Daphnia pulex: one gene and its partner. The protein of the gene in region 2 purifies or fractionates together with the protein of the main gene of each other region. This does not show direct contact. Links are inferred from orthologs where the notes say so. Each region holds a gene or a part of one and is shown on either strand. Other genes may lie near its edges.

Region 1 (7,967 bases), on a different chromosome or scaffold from region 2:
ACTCATGTAAACTTATGCGACTTATGTTATGACACTACCTGCCTGAAAAATCAAAATATGTTCTATTTGACCACGTCTTCAAAGCTATGTATTTTGAGATCGAAATCTTCATCGCGGAAATATTTTAGTACGTTATTTGTGAAAGATGGACCTTATAATTTTGTCGACGGACAGAAAACCCATCCTATTGATTCAATTGGCTTTACAAATGTCTTGAATCCTGCAACCAGTGTTGTTCTAGCAAAAGTAGCTGTCTCAGGAGCAAATACCGTTGACAAGGCAGTCAAATCATGTGAAGAAGCCTACAAATCATGGTCTTTGGTACTATTTTTCCATAATTTTCATATTCATGTTTATTGACAATTCTTCTAAGTTATCAGGTTTTGAAAGAGGAAAACTTATATCTAGTTTGGGACAAAAGATATTAGAAAATCAGGAAACCTTGGCTCAACTAGAAGTGGAAAACAATGGGAAACCTATCTGGGAGGCCAGGTTGGACATTCAAAGCTGTGCTGATTGTTTTCTGTACTTTGGTGGGATTGCTTCCACAGTCAGTGGGAAGCACATTCAGCTTCCTAACAGTTCATTTGGATTGGTGAAAAGAGAAAGCCTTGGGGTTGTAGGAGGCATAGGTGCTTGGAATTATCCTCTACAGACATGTTCCTGGAAAGTAAGTTCAATCTGATATCAATAAAAGTAATATGTTCAGTTATTTGAGTTGAAAATAAAAACAGGTGGCTCCTGCTTTGACTTGTGGAAATACAATTGTTTACAAACCATCAGAACTCACTCCTTTGACAGCTTTAGCTTTGGCAGAACTTGCAATCAAAGCTGGAATTCCCGAAGGTGTTTTCAACCTGGTCCAGGCATGTAAAAATCACAGCAATTAACTGACAATATTTTCTTTATTTTGAATTTTTTACGTAGGGTTCAGGTGAAACCGGAAAAAATCTTTGTTGCCATCCTGATGTGGCAAAAATATCTTTTACGGGATCTGTCCCAGTCGGGAAAAATATATTGAAGCTCGGTACGTATGATTTTGGACTAAAGTTCAGTATTAAGTTTTTGAAATCCAATCAATAATATCTTTTATTTCTAGCTTCTAATGACTTGAAGAGAGTTATGCTAGAACTTGGTGGAAAGAATCCACTAATTATCTACGACGACTGCGACCTTGAAAACGCTGTCAAAGGCGCTCTTCTTGCAAATTTTTTATCTCAAGGACAGGTATATTTCTTGAGAGAAAACAATCAAGAACTCGTTTTAAACTTATTTTTGCTCCAGGTTTGTTCGAACGGTTCTCGTGTATTTGTTCAACGCTCCATCATTGAACAATTCACCAAAGAGTTTGTAAAAGCTACTTCTCAACTAGTTATAGGCGATCCCCTTGACGACAAAACTCAAGTTGGCGCAACCATCTCTAAACCGCATGCTGAAAAAGTTCTTGCCTATATAGCGCGAGGTCTTGAAGAGGTAAAGTGATGTTCTAATACAAATGAAAGTTTGGTTAATTTCAATGCGCTTCTAATTTACTGACAGGGAGCCATCAAACTGTGCGGTGGTGAACGAATTCAAATGCCCGATCCTTTTCAAAATGGATATTTCATCTCCCCATGCATTCTAACCAATTGCCATGACGACATGACGGTTGTAAAAGAAGAAATTTTTGGACCAGTCGCTACCATTTTGCCGTTTGATACCGAGGAAGAAGTTATTCGTCGAGCCAATCAAACTCCTTACGGATTGAGTGCTGGCATTTTTACAAAGTATTGTTTACCTAAAATAAATCTCATTTCTGTGAAACTTAACGATTACACTTTTACAGAGACCTGAGAAGAGCACACCGAACTTCGGACCGTTTGCAATCTGGTACAATTTGGGTGAACAACTTCAACGTCACACCAGTCGAATTGCCTTTCGGTGGGTTCAAGCAGAGTGGCATCGGTGTCGAATGCAGTACTGAAGCCATCCAATGTTATACTCAGTTGAAGTCAGTCTACGTTGAAATGAATGATGTAGACTGCCCCTTGTACAATTCCAAATAGGCTAACGTCCAACGAGGATTGACCTTTTATTTTGGTGTTTGAATTTTGTTTGGTCCTAGAGTTAGTCAGTTGGTATGTCGTGAACATGGCGAGCATTATTCATTTTCAATTTTGTACACATTTTATAAAAAATGGCGAGAAAATAAGAGATACAAAATCATCCATCAGTCGCATTGAAATTCTTTCATCAATAGTTGTTATATCCTCCTCTTCGAGGTCGCCGACCACCTCCACCCCTCCCGAAACCTCCCCGTCCACCTCCGCCTTCTGGATTCCAACGGCCTGGTGGAGGCTGATGATGCGGTGGTGGTGGATGGAATTGTCCAGGATAGCTTGGAGCGAAATGACCTGGTGGTGGTCCCCTACCACCGTAATCCTCGTCGCCTCTTTCAAAAGGGCCGGGAGGTTCACCACCCCCTCGATAGTTGTTGGGACCAGGACCCCAACCGCCAAAGTTTCCTTCGCCATGCCGATCACTCATTTGTGGAGGTGGGGGAGGCGGATAACCGCCTTCCATCCGCATGTCGTCTTCAATGGGCTGCATTGGGGGTCCTCCATTTCCCATATAATGCAGTTCTTCTTCATTATCGATAGATGGTGGTGGACCACCCCACGCTTGATTTCCACCTGGTGGTCCGTGATGACCTCTCCCTGTTTTTCCATCCGCATAATTAGTTTGCATTAGATTACTTAAACTTAAAACCATGAGCGTACCTCTGCCTGGAGGTGGAAGTGGAGGTCCACTTTGATTAAATCGGTCCTGATGGTGCGGTGGCTGGAAGTAGGGTCTATTCATTGGACCCTGACTATGAGGTGGTCGCGGAGGAAAGCGATCTGGTTGCTGTTGTGGTTCGAAAGGTGGGCGATCCCAATTTCCCATTTCTAAAAATAAATAACCGACAGATAAGTTCAAGTTGCGTCATTTTTCTTCGACTATTTCAATCAAACCTTGAGGTGGAGGTTGGCCTTGCCAGCCTCCGTGATTATGGTGGTGATTGTGTTGCTGCTGCTGTTGTTGTTGCGGTTGCTGTTGTTGCGGTAAATGATGGTGGTGGTGTTGCTGCCCAGCTCCTGGTGGTAACGGATGACGGATGGGCTGAACAGGGTGGCCCCTCTGTTGAAACTCTACAACTATTCAATAATTTAGTACAGTGCCAACAGCAGAACAATCATTTATGCAAATTAATTACCTCTCTGAGGGAAGTCTCCTAGAAGACCACCAGTTGGTGTTGGACCAATTCCTGAATGACCCCTGTTGTAGCCCGGAGAGTCGTCAAGAACAGGTGTTCGAGAGCGCGGATAGAAATCGTCGTCGTCCAATTCTCGATCTTGATTGTACTCGCCAGTTGGAACTACTTCGGGTTTAGTCTCCTCCTCCTCAACAGTAACTTTCAAGCCCATCGAAGATAGAACCTGATTAAACTCTTCTTCGCCAGTACGAATGGCTTTCTCTAACTCTGAATCGGCTTCGATGGACAGTATCGTGCCATCGATTATGACAGCTGTCGGAGTGGGAAGTTGAGTAACAGGCAACGACTGAGCCGTGTCGAGCAATTCTTGCAACTGCTCTGGATCATTAGCCGGTAGGCCGAACAGGGTCAGAGATGCGCGACCCAACTGTTCCATTCCAAAGGCAACGGGATCAACACCAAGGACGTGATCCTCTTCATCAGACAGTACACCCGATGCTGACGATAGGCTGGGAGTGGGTAAGATGGCTGGTTTCTTACTAGCACTGCTCTCATTCCATTGTGCCTGGAAGTGACGTGGAATTGGTTTGGCATACGGAACTTTCTTGATGGGTTTCACGTCTTGTGCTAATGGTTCCACATCCAGACCAGGAATCATGCCTGCGCTTAATAAACTGAGGCTACTCTGACCGAGTTGTCCGTCTCCGCCTTCTGCTTCCACTTTGTCTTCGGGTCCCATTCCTGGGATATTGGGAGCGTGATGGTCATCCAGCAACTCGGCGTCTTCGGGCATCACTCCAGGCGGTAACGTGTTGAGATTGTATTTGTCCCTCATCTTATCGCCGGGTCTGTTTCGTGTCCAGAACTTTGACGTGTGGTCATTCGAACCCGAACAGAGAATGTGTCCGATCGGATGCCAGGCAAGAGACCAAATGAGACTTTCATGAGCTTGATCGATAGCACCAACTTCTTTGTCCGTTCTATGTTTTCAAAGCAAAACAGAAAAAGAGTTAGGGTAAGGTTTGAAAAATACACGACTTAATAAACAAAATTACCCAACGTTCCAGAAGAATATAGCTCCGTCAGATCCACCGCTACAGAAAAGTTCTTCGTGAAATGGATGCCACGAAAGACAGGATGCTTCCTTCTTGTGACCGCGGAAAGTTTGCAATTCTTGATCAAGCCGACGGATGTCAAATAGCTTGATCAAATGATCTCTGGAAGCGGTGATGAGCCACTGGCCGTTCTTGTTCCATTTTGCGTCCATAACTGTGCTTTTATGGGCGTGCAGCGTAGCTAATGATTGACCAGATTTGGGATCCCACAGTTTGACTGGTTGCTGGTTGTCTTTGCTGCCTGAAATGACTAGACCCTTTTGCGGGTGCCAATCGACGCATTTGACATCAGCTCCGTGCCCTAATGGAAACAATTGATGGACATGAAGTAGGCTTGCAGAAAAAACAAAACAATTAGTTGGGTACCTCGAAGAATTTTTTCCTCCTGACAGCGGACAAAATCCCATATTCGCACAGTTCCATCGTCGGAGCAAGAGGCCAATTTTTGATCCGTTGGACTAAAACTGGATACACAAAAACGTGGAGGGTCTTTAATTGTAATTGAATACCCTTAAAATGGTTTTATAATCGTCAAGGTAGATTAATTGAAAATGTTGACTTTGTGGATAAAAGAAGTTTAATTGGGGTAGAAAAGTATGGGTCATTTGAAAAGTTAACCGTAAGTCCCGACAAGTATTTCGATCTCGTATACGCCTATTGCAATTAGGCAATATCGGGTGCGCAGAGTTTCATAAACGAATCGTATAAAATGTTTTACTTCAAAATCGTATAGAGGGTTGAAAAAGAAGTCTCTTTTATTTTCCTCAGTTGCATCTATCACAGATCAGTTGTTCTTGGTATGTAGGATTTTCTTTTTTTTTCTCTTTTACTTTCAAGCGTACTTGTATTATTGGGCAATGAGCATTTATAGAAGAAAAGATTGGGAAAAGTTCGGAGGTTATACGTATCACAGCAATGAAATTTGATTTTTATTTTGGTTTGGTTTTGGTTTCAATACCTGATGCCCCGAATGGCTTCTTTGTGAGCTTGAAACATCTTGACGTTATTCATATTTGACTGCCAGTATTTGATGTAGCCGCCATGGTCCCCCGTCACCATCCAGATATCGTTGTGGGACCATACCATGCTACGGACCGGACTGTCGTGAGCCTATTTAAAGGGTAAGAAGGATTAGATTAATAATTACTCGTTACCGTGTTATTTCTTAGGAGTACTATTTACGGATTTTTCATACCTGTAAAATAGTTTCAAAATTGAACGTCAGGCCGTTCCACAGGGTAAACTCGCCGCTTGATGCCCCTGTGATTAAACGACGGCCTTCAGGAGTCCAAGTAAGGCAAAATACTGGACAACGAATTTTATTTGTTGCCACCTTTCGAGGTAAATTCAAAGAAAAAAAAAGATAAATAGAATAATTCAAAATCGGGCTTTCCATCTATAATGCATTACTTTAGTAAAACGTGTTGTTATGGCATTGCTGGGCGTATCCAAATAGCAAGAGGGAGGAACCATTTCTGGATAATAACACACGTCGGGTTGAAGACTTCGCCTGTCTCTGGCGTCCCGCTGCCAGACTCTTGTCTAAATTTAAGTCAAGATAATACTATATAAATACAAATTGTATTTGATAAAACTCTGAACATATAAATTAAAGGAAATATTAAAAATATAAACATGTTCTAACTACAAGAGAAGAAAGGCAATCCTTGTATTTACAAGCTTCTCAATTTACCTCTAGCATACGAATCACTGAAGAGTAATAATCTACAGTTTTGCGCATTGAGCTCTTGCGCAACTGTTTGGAATCATAGTCTGACCGATCTTGGCCAGGCTTAGGGTATGGTCTATTGAAGGGATGAAACATGTGGCGACCAGGTGGAATTGGTGGTCTCAATGGTTCACTTCCTGGAACAATCCTAGGTAATCCTGCTCCAAGGAAAGAATTATTTCCTGCATTTGCAGGGCTCTGGCTGGGGCCAGTGGCATGCCTCGATTGAAATGGTGACTGATTCATGCCATTGGCACCAGGATAATATGCCATTTGGGTTGCCATTTTTCTGATAATAATTAGTTAAATAGCTGAAAAAAAGACAATAAAAAATTTTAGTTAATTGAAGAACAAGTTTATGTAAACATGAGAGAAACCGTTATGTGCACACCGCACGTCAACTACTTGTTTCGTCAGAAAATGAAAACGCCCAATTTCCACAGATTTTAAGTGAAATAAGTACTTAAAAATTTACATTTAAATTTTCGATCAATGCCGACAATCGGCGCTGATGATATAAGTCTGTAAATCCCCGATAAAAAATGCACTCACCTAAAATGTTCAAGAGATGTTCTGTTGCCTGCTCAGCGCCATTTTGCAATGTTTGGCTGCGGCATAAGGCATTGCCTAGTTGCCATATCAAACGTAGGTATCTCTCGATCCGACAGAAAGAAGAAAACAATAAAATTCAAATATTCGATTGATTGAAATTATCAATCAATAAACCAAATTTTAAAAAATATAAATAATTTAAATAATTCTGGGAAAAGTATAATTTGATAACGATAAAAAATTTAATAATAACAAAAAATTCACAAATTTTACGTTGAAATAGCGCTGAAGAATGGTTCGTAATCGGTAATCGTTGAAACTTGAAAGGAAAAAACTCAAAAAAGAAAAGAAGGGATTGCGTGTTATCCTTTTTGGTACTATATAATAAACCGACGGTATGTTTACGGTCTCGATACTCTCGAAGAACAAATATAATGTTATATCATTTTTTCTGATTCTATTTATGTTAGATCAGATCTATTATCCGTTTTTTTTTATTACAACAACGAGTTAGAAAAATGTGATAACGTGTATCGAGATTGGACATAGCACTATTGATAATCAATACCTGTTCACCTCAACAATCCAAACAAAGGTGACCAGACGAGTTTCTAAAGTCAACTCGTTATCCTGTATCTTTTTATTTTTATTTTTATTTTTCGTGCAAGTCGTGCGGTTCGAAGACGAATTGTAATCCCGACACAAAACTGAAACACCTTAAACAGGAAATCAGTTCGACAAAATTTAACGGTTTATTTGAATTATGTACATAACAGTTCCATGCCAAGAGAAAGTTTGAGCTAATTCACACAGCAATTAGCTCAAAGAAACGCTTTTACTCTTTTTAGGGAAAAGTGTTGTTAATAAATATACGTATTTATACAATATTTACAGAAGTTGTTAGGCTGGATATTACAGTAACACCAGCTTCATCTGTCCACTCGTTATAGATTTTACTCACGCAGTTTCCGTTTCATATCTAAGCGGTAAACGAACTTCGTCGTTGTCAGATCTATAAATGTCTGAAATGTTGTTCGCTCCTGTATCGGAATCCAAATTGATGGTACAGGATTCCTCTGGTTTGTCGCCTTTTACAAGATGATAGTCATTTAGCAGTGAAGGTTGCACGATGACGTAGCTATTTCTGACAAGCTGTTCGTAGCTGGGCGGTAGGTCCGTTTTGATTTCTTTATTCTGCTTCAGCCAGAGAACGGAAGGTTATCAAAGTTATCCAATTAGAAATTATGTTTCATTATGCTTACGCGTCTGAGGAGATGCGCAAAAAAGCAGCAGTAACAAAAGGTTCCCAGTAGCATGACAACACCAAGCGTGAATA
Region 2 (9,752 bases):
TCTGAACATTTGAACTTGCATTGTTGGGACTAAGAGATGAATATTGAAAAGCGGGAGAAGAACAAAAATAAGATCTAACCTAAATTATACAACATTAATAATTTCGTAGAATTTGTAATAAATCATATAATGGAAATATATACCCCCCGAAAGCACTTGGAGTTGAAAATCAACACTTCCCTTAGAGCAGCCATGTGTATCTTGTCTCTGGATTGTTTCTAAAGTAAAAAATATCGACTGGTTTGCACAAGCCCCGCCTTCATTTAGGAGAGACGGTTGTCAGACAACAACCATTTATTTTAAACAAATGTAATTTTTGGAGGTTAGTTTGGATTTGGAATTGGAATTTTTAAATTTCAGTTTTGTGTATGAATTTTTCTGTTTCGTGAAATTTAAAAATTACGAATTACAACTTACAAGTTACAACTTACAACTTTATGCCAACTAGGTCAACGCTAGTCTGCTACGATATCTCGTACTCGTTTACCATACCATATACGTCTTACTCATTGTATATAGACGTAAAAGACGTTATCAAAGTAGAATCGAATACTCTGCTTTCATAGTCGGTCAACCCTTAATAAGGTATCTACGTTTAATCTGCTATCTTCCGTTCTCAACCTAATTTTCGTTCAGAATGGCTTCATTAACACGCGGAATCTTCATCGTCGGTGCCAAGAGAACTCCGTTCGGTACTTTTGGAGGAAAATTGGCCGGCAAGACTTGCGTTGATTTGCAAGAAATTGCTGCCAAGGCTGCACTCTCTGCCGCCAAAGTCAATCCAGAGCTTGTAGATTCCGTTATTATTGGAAATGTCTTGAGTTGCTCTTCAGTGGATGCACCCTACATTTCTAGGCATGTTTCACTTCGATGTGGCATTCCTATTCCTACCCCAGCATTGACAGGTAAAATCAACATATTTTAATAGCATTTACACATTATTAACCAGACAAAAATTATTTCTAGTCAACCGTCTGTGTGGCTCTGGTTTCCAGTCAGTTATTAATGGCGCACATGTAACACAAATAATTCCACACCATAAAAATGACAGGAAATTTCATTCAATTGCATTTGGTATTACAGGATATTTTGATGGGAGATTCTCAAATTGTTTTGGCTGGTGGTTCAGATTCCATGAGCCAAGCTCCCTACGCTGTTAGAGGTATTCGCTTTGGAACCAAACTTGGAGTTGATATTAAGTTGGAAGACATGATGTGGGCTGCCCTAACTGACTTCCATTGCAAGACCCCTGTAATTATATTTCCTTTTGTTTGTTTGTTTCTTATCAGTTTTTTATTGTTGCAATTATTTTTAGATGGGAATTACTGCTGAGAATTTAGCTGAGAAATATAACATCACACGAGAAGAGGTTGACAAGTTTGCTCTCAGATCTCAGTTGAATTGGAAAGCTGCTCATGAAAATGGAAATTTCAAAGGTAATTAAAATTTGCATATCTCAGAATGTATACATAGATAATTTTATCTTTTTTTTTTATTTTACAGCTGAATTGGCTCCTGTATCTTTGGAAATTAAAAAGAAACCTGTTTCTTTTGACACTGATGAACATCCGCGCGTGCAAACTACCATGGAAATGTTGGCCAAGGTACTACAACTCCATAAAAGATATGATTCCAATGTTTCTATATCTAATTTCTGATACTTAAACTAGCTGCCTCCCGTCTTCAAGAAAAATGGAACTGTTACTGCTGGTACAGCATCAGGCATTTGTGATGGTGCTGGAGCCATCATATTGGCCAGCGAAGAAGCATGCAAACTTCATAATCTGACGCCATTGGCTCGTTTGGTATACAAAATCTTTACACTTTTAATGAATACATCATTAATTGTTTTATTTGTAGGTTGGTTATGGTATTGCTGGTGTTGAACCCACTATCATGGGAATCGGACCAGCACCTGCCATTCGTAAAGTATTGGCTAAAGCTAATTTGCAGCTGAAGGATATTGGTGCAGTTGAAATCAACGAAGCCTTCGCGGCTCAGACTATTGCTTGCCAACGTGAACTTGATTTGGATCCTGAAGTCCTTAACGTCAATGGTGGTGCCATCGCTCTTGGTCATCCTCTTGGAGCTTCCGGCTCGCGCATTACCGCGCATTTGGTTCACGAATTGGGGTAATTAATTTTCTTTGATGCGTTGAACCATATGCTAATTATTTTACTTTTATCATTAGACGTCGCAAACTGAAATATGCTATCGGATCGGCTTGTATTGGTGGTGGTCAAGGAGTAGCTCTTCTTCTTGAGGGCATGAATTAATCGGTTGTTACTTCGTGCGGGGCAATATTAGTGCGAAGACTTTGATTTTTAAGAAATCACAATCCAGTAACAATGCAAAAAATATATGGATGGATTATAAAAATACTTTAGCAGTTGTTTATTCTTCCATTATTAAATATCAATACAAGTTATTTTACTTTTTCTGCTTTTGGTGCCAAAGATTGATATAATTTAAGTACAGCCGTTTGAACCACTTGTTGAAATCCAACATCTTCAGGACATTCCACCTCCTTTAATAAAAAAGAATTTAGATTTTTATAAGAAAACGGTAATTTTAGACGTTACCAATGCTGTGAGATCTATATTGGCTCTTTTTCCGTCAACGGTAACAATGAATTTATCTCCTTTGAACATTTTTGGAACCGCATCATCTCCAAACATATCTTGAAGCATTTCTATCAAGCATTCCTATATAAATTCACACGTTTAGACCGATATTATTCTCAAACAAATAAAATTTAGTACCTTGAAGCGGGCATGATCAACAGTCGTGGGTAGCACAATCGTCCTCGAACCTTGAAGAGATTCGCACTTTAAGATAGCTGAAAGCACTGCGTCAGCGAACATGTCGTTCACAGAATCAGCCGCCCACTAAACAAATCAAATATTAAACATTAAAGAAGTGGTCTTCACAAATCATTAAGATGCGTACTTCTAATGTAACCAGAGTTTTATCAACAATGACATCAATGGCAGAGAAAAGGCGAAATGTTTTTAGTCCTTTGTCGCTCTCGATAACTTCGACGTCAGGCGAAACGTGAGACAGGACAGCTTGTAACGTTTGCAGATTCCCGCTGTAGTGGATACCCATCCTTTGAGTTACGCTGCTTACAGTCATGTCTGTGTATTCTGCAATTCAAAAAAATTGGGTACTAAAGTTATAGAAATTAAGACTTGAATAAAAATTGTTGGTACTCGAAATATCCGACGGCGCCACAATTTGGTATTTGAAGTTTCGTTTGACCAAGACACCAGAAATGATTTGGCCTTCGACTGGTTTTTCAAACGCCAGAGATCCCATCACCTAGACAACAAGGCGTTAGAATAAAATTCATTGGGTGAATCGCTTTTACGATTTTTTAAATTACTTTGGCCGTTTTTTCGCCCTTGAAATGGAGTTCTACTGCCGCAGTGTTACGTGGATTGTATATACGGATTTGAGTGTCTGGATCATGTTCATACTCTCGGATGAGCGCCGCTTTGAGTCGGTTCATCTCGTTGGCCTCGCCGTGAACCAAAACGACATGAGGTGGCTTCAGCAAACGAATAAATTCACTGGTCTGTTGGTAGTCAGTGTGAGCGGAGAATGAAATGTAGTCAACTGAAAGCTTCATTGGTAGCTTCTGGCCAGCCATGCTGGTAATATCTTCCGGTTCTGACAAAACATGTTTTGCCAATGTTCCTTCAACACAGTACCCTTTTACGACAACAAAAATAAACGTGAACAACTAATTATATAAAAATTAAAACATTTCTTTCCACTGACCTGCGATGATGCAACCGTTTTTAGGATCTGTGCACCAAGCTTCGAAGAGTTCGCGAGATAGACCACTCTGCATCATACCGGGAGAGGCCATAATTACACAAGGGCCAACGTCTTCGAACTGATCGATACCCTGGGGAATGACAATACATTGCGTTGAATAAAGGACCATTTTATAACAGGTTATTTCAAATATTATTGTACCTTGAGACTAGAGATGTGCTTGAAGATGAAAGGATTATTGATGGCAATCTGCCGCCGAATTTTGTCGTTCATGGCATTGATATAAGTCTGCAAGAATAGAGAACCAATTAAAGTTTGATGCGATCGCTGCGAGATTTTGAATTTGATTAGTACCTGGTACACGGCCATACACTTTTGTGCAAGCGACGAGGCATAGTAGATGGGAATCTCGTGAAGTTCGGGATGCAGGCTCCAATATTCATCTAAAAGCCAATTAAAACTGATTGGAAGTTTTCTTATGCAAAAAATTACTTCTAATACCTAATACCTAGAATGAGAAGCAATTCTTGTGCTCGACCCAGTGCAAAGACCGGGATCAGACATCTGCCACCTCTATTGACAATTTCGTGGATCAGACCTGTGAAACGGCTTTCTCGATCTTCGCGCTTCTCGTGGATGTGAGTTCCGTAAGTGGATTCCTTCGAGAATAAAACAGATTATCACATGGACATATTTCGCCTTGAAATACTTCAAGCTTAACTCACGGTGATTAGGATATCGGGTCGAACAGTAGGAATCTCAGCGGCCATCAAATGTCTGTCTTCCTGTCGGGAAAAGTCCCCAGTGTAAAGCACTTTCACGCCGGCAATTTCAATCATGAACATAGCGGCGCCCAGAACATGGCCTGCGTTGTAAGCCCAGAAACGAACTCCACCAACATCCTTCTCTTCGTGAAAGTTGATAACTTCAATCTTTTCCATGGATGCCTCCAGATCTGCCTCTGTGTAGAGCATTTGATCTGTGGAAATGTTGCTGACCTGTTGGAAATATTACTTGTGAGCACTGCATCGACTAAAACTCAAATGCCTTTTTTTCTTACTTTAATATAATCAGAGAGCAGCCAACGGTAAATTGCTTTTGTGGCATGTGTCATGAAGCACCGTCCCTTGAATGTTGTTTTCTGTAAAAACCATGGAAGTGCCCCACAGTGATCCAAATGGAAACTATTGAAAAATACAATTGTACATTAGCTATTGACAATAAAACTTAAGAAAACAAAACCAAAACTCACTGTGAAATGAGTAACAAGTCAATTTGATCTGCTTCAATCAAATCAACGAAAGGCAGTGCATCCATTCCCGATAAACCTGGATGAATTCCACAATCCAGCTAGAAAATGAAAAACATAATCAATGAAATGCCCACATTCAATGGCGATTCAACTCTGTACAACAAAAACACGTTTGTTTACCATGATTTTCTTGCCCTTGAATTCGAGCATGATACATGATCGACCAACTTCTTGTCCGGCTCCCCTGAAAAGTAATGTAATAAAAAACACCCGTGAATTTTCCAAATACAAATTAAAAGTCAATTGACATTATATTTACAATGGCCTAATAACCAATAAATCACTTTCTTCGGCCGGGACCTGTACGTCATTTTTACGTTTAGCCATTTTGTCTTTTGTTTTTCTTGGGTCTACAAGCTGTTGCCAGGTAAACTTTTATGTCCACTCCGCGAGTTGACACATCACATCCGCTTTCGCCTTTTTTACTTTGATAAAATCATAAAAATATTACGTAGTATACATTTATTAATTATGCAATCTACGCCGTGAAGTTTTATGGCATTTAGAATTTGATATATTTTTTCGGGGTCGATGATTTAAGATATTAACGGACTGACGGCGTTTTTACTATTCAATCTCGACTTTTTTGTCCACGGGTTTTAAAATTCGTGAAACTCTACTCGATTTGAGAAATGGTGGCATAAATAACCGATGATTATGCGTGGGAATGAAGCACCTGCACCGAAAGCTACACACGAGATGGTTTCAAGTCTCTGCCAAGAGTGGCGGAGTCTAAAAGAAGCAGCGATCCCAGATGAGGTAAAAATGTAGACCCAAAAAGCGACCGGCAAACTGTTCGTTCGTGAAATGTCAAGAAGATTCTCCTTTTATAACTTTTGATTATATCAACTTCACCATTTGGTCTTTCTGCAGTAACTCGTCAAGCTCGTACACACACACGGTGTAGCTATAGGTTGGGCCGAGTTTCCATGAAGTTTTACTAGGATGCATGTAACATGATTGTTTCATGAATCACGATTATGAACCTCCAGTGCATCGAGCACGGTATATGTGGGCCAGGTATACATATACATGTGTGTGTGTAAGCTATAAAGTTCACGTTTGTCTCCCTGCAGTTGACAATAAATTTTGGCGAAAAATATCCAGCGAAAAAACAAGACATTGAAACGCATTTCCTACGTGACAGCACATTATTCGCTGATACGGAAAACAATTGAACGTGGGAGCTGTGTCGAGTGTGGGTAGTTTTTTCCTATTAAATATCAAAGCGTCTTCATAATTTCTTAGTGCAAACGCACACACACACCCACACCTGCACACAGACACACGGTTGCGTGCAAGCAAGCAATCGCACCGCAGGCTCCGCGAGCGGATTTCTCGGCTGATTCTAATTGCATAACATTTGTCTGGCCGATTTGAGAGAGTCATCGCCGTCTTTATCGAACCTTGGCGCACATCCCTCCGGACAGAATAAACGTGTATATAAATAAACTTGCTGCTCTATTGGATAGACGTATATACAAGGAGAAGAAGGAACCTGTTCCGTTTCCCACTATTACGAATTCACCTGCCTTTAACGCGGCCGTCCGTCCGTCCGGAGATGCCTCGTGCCAGAAGACTGTCAGTCGGTTGTCATGGCGGCGTATAGATGTGAACACACCTGTCCTTCTACACGAGATCACTATCATCCGCTCATCCGGAAATTAAAAGTTAAAAAAAAGTTTTTATCAAAAAGAACGTTCGAAATCGATTGGAAATTTCGAGGAAATTTCAAATCTTTGAAAAAGTGAACAAAACTGTCAACAGCATTGAAAGTGAATAATACAGTATAGCACGCATACGTCATCTCTCTGGCTGCCTTTTGGAGAGAGAGAGATTTCCAAAACGTTGGAGAGAGCCGATTCCGGATGATAATATTTTCCAGCCCCCCCCATATTTATATAAGCGGATTTGCCCAGTTTTGTCCACTTGGCGCCAGACACGAACACAAATCTAAATCTATCGATATCCAGCAGGACCATGTTGTAGTAGTTTTACTTGCTCATGTGCTGATCCGGCTTATTATATATTCGGGAATCTAAAAAAAAATAAATAAATAATTCGAAATAAAAGTAAAAACATTTGAGGCACGCTATAAGTCGCTTCACACACGCTTGTATTTTGAATCTATTTTCTTTTTATTTTTGCACAAAAACATATACACACATACACATTCACAAAAAAAAAGAACTTTCTTTCCTTTTTCTTCTTATAGTGTACTGAGTTTAGTATATTATATTTGATATTGATATTTATTACAGTCGGCAGACGATCGTGTTTGGGAGAAATCCATCGGCTTTTGTGCTCTACAATATGCCATGGGGGGGATTTGAATATAAATTGATTTTTAATTTATGTCTTTGGTAAAAATTCGCGGTCAATTCATTATGCACACAATAACATCTTCGAGGGACGAGTATATAGAGAGAGAGCGACATTGAAAGCACATGATCGTTTTTTTCCCCTTCAATTTAGTGTCATCAAGTCAAATTTAATAGATAGCATGTTCGATCAAGGATAAACGCAGGTAAAATAAATAATAATAATAACGAGGCCAAACGATGAGAAGAGCATATAAATATAATCGAGAGTCTGGGAGGGGGTTATTACATGGATGAAAAACGAGCTCTAGAAAAGGTGGAACACTATCTCGTTTTTGTCATCGAGACTAGGAGCAGAGAAATGGCCGCTAGCAGGTAACCGAGAGGAGGTGACTGCGAGGCTGCAACAGCAGATGAGCTGGACCGCCCGCCGACGGCCAATTGAGTCTTGGCGGAAGCCTGTTTATTGGCTGCCAATCTCTTGGTGGACGAGTCGTCCTTGGATTTCTCTGCGTACAACCAGACAACATTCATCGATCCTATTGTACAACCACAATAACATGTATATATATGTATTACTAACCATCCCAGGTGCTGCTAAGCTGTTCTTTTCCCGTTCCACGGCCGTCCTGCTGGTCGGCTTCCGAGTAAACTTCGTTCATGTCTCCATCGTCAGCCACCGGATGGATTTCTTCCCAATAAAAAAATCAAATAAAATTCTTGAATTGAACATTTTAAAAATAATAAAAATCGAAATTCAATCGAGACGTACGGTAAAGTCGGACGACCGAATCGGCAATGCCCAGCGTATTGCGACAGACGCACTGGTAGGCCATAAAGTCTTCGCGTTCCAGGTGGAGAAAGACGAGCTGCATGGAGACCTTGTAGTGGTTCGTCTCTCGCTTCTCCTCGCGATGTTTGACACCTAATCAAATATGAATTGCGTTTCACATATATACTGTCGGTCGGTCGGTCGGGGGGTCATACGACACACCCTCCTCCGCCCGGAATGATTTCTTGCAACGACAGAAGGTCTCATTCACATGTGACGTCAAAAACACAATGTCGTCAAAATTTATTTCCTCCCCAATCGAAATGGGGAGGAAATAAACGAACTACTAGCCAGATTTATGGACGTCTTAAATTGGAGAGTAGTAAGGCAGTTGCCATTTCTAAAATGTACGTCTGCATGTTGGTCTATATACGTTACCGTTGACGACGACATCTCCGGTGCTGTGCCTTAGCCAGTAGACCACCGGCTTGGGGAAGGACTCGCAATGGCACTCTAATGTGATGTTAATGTCTCCTTGCCGAGCCCCGACCAGTTGATTGGTCGCCGTGACGCTTGGCGGGACTAACGATTCCCAAAAAAGAAGAAGAAGAAGAAAAAAAGGTTGGACTCTCTCGTGTAACATATATATATAGCCGATGGATCATTAACGTTTCGACTTTCGGTTGAATCGTCCAGACGACTACACTATACTACACTCTCTATACTGTAAAGCTATATTGGGTGTGCGTGTCTATGAGCGGGAGGTGTGTGCGTGAGAGCGAAACGAAACGAAACGAAAAAAAAAGGGAAACGAAACACAACATAGTCACGTTCAATCGATGGCAGTCGAAAAACTCTGATTTTTTCAGCCGATTGTCCATCGCGTCGCATCGAGAGACTCTCCCGCTCATGACAGATGGAAAAAGAAAAAGGGCAATTTTGTTTTTCCCGATAGGTTTGACTTACACTGAACTCGCAACATGAACCTTTTGGACACACTGGGAGGAACTCCGTTGGACGCTGCAGTTTAAAAAAAGAAAAATTCAATGAATAACTGAAATTTAGAAAGCTTTATGTTTCTTTCTCCCTTCATAGGGGACATGGGAGAATAGTTGATGTATATAAGTTACCTATGCACAGGTAAGCTCCGATATTCTGCCGGGGTATTCGGGTTAAATGCAGCACCGATCCTTCGACTGTCACGGCTATAATCAAATTTGAGACCGTAGAGAGTAATCTGTATAGGCATATACTACTACTTCTACTACTCGGGGTAAATAATTCAATTTCAGACAAGAAGAAAAGAAAAGAAAAAAAATACCGTGATTCTGGATGGGTCGGCCGTCTTCACGACGCCAGGTGATGACCGGGAGCGGATGGCCGGTGGCGCTGCATCTCAGCGTCGTGTTTTGTCCCTCGGTGACCATGACGTCACCGCTACTTTCGCTGTCGACGATATCCGGCGGAACTGAATGAAACAAAACAAATACAACAAATACAAAAATTCAGTTGAAAAAATAAAACAAAACTTTTTAGCGGGAATAACCAATCAAAAGAAATCGAA

Evidence for each region.
Region 1: the proteins of cleavage and polyadenylation specificity factor 73-like (region 2) and pre-mRNA 3' end processing protein WDR33-like purify together in Homo sapiens (affinity purification with mass spectrometry; 5 studies listed by BioGRID and IntAct, with this or other methods). This does not show direct contact. The link is inferred for Daphnia pulex from reciprocal best matches to the Homo sapiens genes CPSF3 and WDR33.

Annotation. Positions count from the first base shown.
Region 1 is NC_060018.1:834,024-841,990, forward strand, and holds pre-mRNA 3' end processing protein WDR33-like, read right to left. Parts: upstream 6,783-7,967; 5' UTR 6,632-6,782; exon of another isoform or gene 6,457-6,631; intron 6,391-6,456; 5' UTR 6,365-6,390; coding exon 6,044-6,364; intron 5,893-6,043; coding exon 5,761-5,892; intron 5,684-5,760; coding exon 5,546-5,683; intron 5,461-5,545; coding exon 5,309-5,460; intron 4,815-5,308; coding exon 4,717-4,814; intron 4,652-4,716; coding exon 4,291-4,651; intron 4,216-4,290; coding exon 3,236-4,215; intron 3,177-3,235; coding exon 2,994-3,176; intron 2,928-2,993; coding exon 2,760-2,927; intron 2,697-2,759; coding exon 2,233-2,696; 3' UTR 2,119-2,232; downstream 1-2,118. Other genes in the region: 4-trimethylaminobutyraldehyde dehydrogenase A-like, read left to right, coding at 58-321, 374-670, 735-866, 928-1,027, 1,100-1,227, 1,285-1,473, 1,540-1,766, 1,826-2,045; uncharacterized protein LOC124188867, read right to left, coding at 7,589-7,828, 7,894-7,967. UniProt on the Homo sapiens protein: Essential for both cleavage and polyadenylation of pre-mRNA 3' ends.
Region 2 is NC_060024.1:9,769,728-9,779,479, reverse strand, and holds cleavage and polyadenylation specificity factor 73-like, read right to left. Parts: upstream 5,490-9,752; 5' UTR 5,423-5,489; coding exon 5,355-5,422; intron 5,280-5,354; coding exon 5,216-5,279; intron 5,134-5,215; coding exon 5,036-5,133; intron 4,968-5,035; coding exon 4,844-4,967; intron 4,782-4,843; coding exon 4,509-4,781; intron 4,443-4,508; coding exon 4,292-4,442; intron 4,227-4,291; coding exon 4,138-4,226; intron 4,072-4,137; coding exon 3,985-4,071; intron 3,914-3,984; coding exon 3,784-3,913; intron 3,715-3,783; coding exon 3,386-3,714; intron 3,322-3,385; coding exon 3,213-3,321; intron 3,147-3,212; coding exon 2,950-3,146; intron 2,889-2,949; coding exon 2,763-2,888; intron 2,706-2,762; coding exon 2,583-2,705; intron 2,528-2,582; coding exon 2,426-2,527; 3' UTR 2,380-2,425; downstream 1-2,379. Other genes in the region: 28S ribosomal protein S9, mitochondrial-like, read right to left, coding at 1-79, 144-194; 3-ketoacyl-CoA thiolase, mitochondrial-like, read left to right, coding at 638-905, 967-1,016, 1,084-1,251, 1,316-1,436, 1,504-1,604, 1,671-1,805, 1,861-2,132, 2,192-2,276; hemicentin-1-like, read right to left, coding at 7,741-7,925, 8,000-8,107, 8,189-8,341, 8,627-8,770, 9,155-9,208, 9,319-9,393, 9,510-9,656. UniProt on the Homo sapiens protein: Component of the cleavage and polyadenylation specificity factor (CPSF) complex that plays a key role in pre-mRNA 3'-end formation, recognizing the AAUAAA signal sequence and interacting with poly(A) polymerase and other factors to bring about cleavage and poly(A) addition.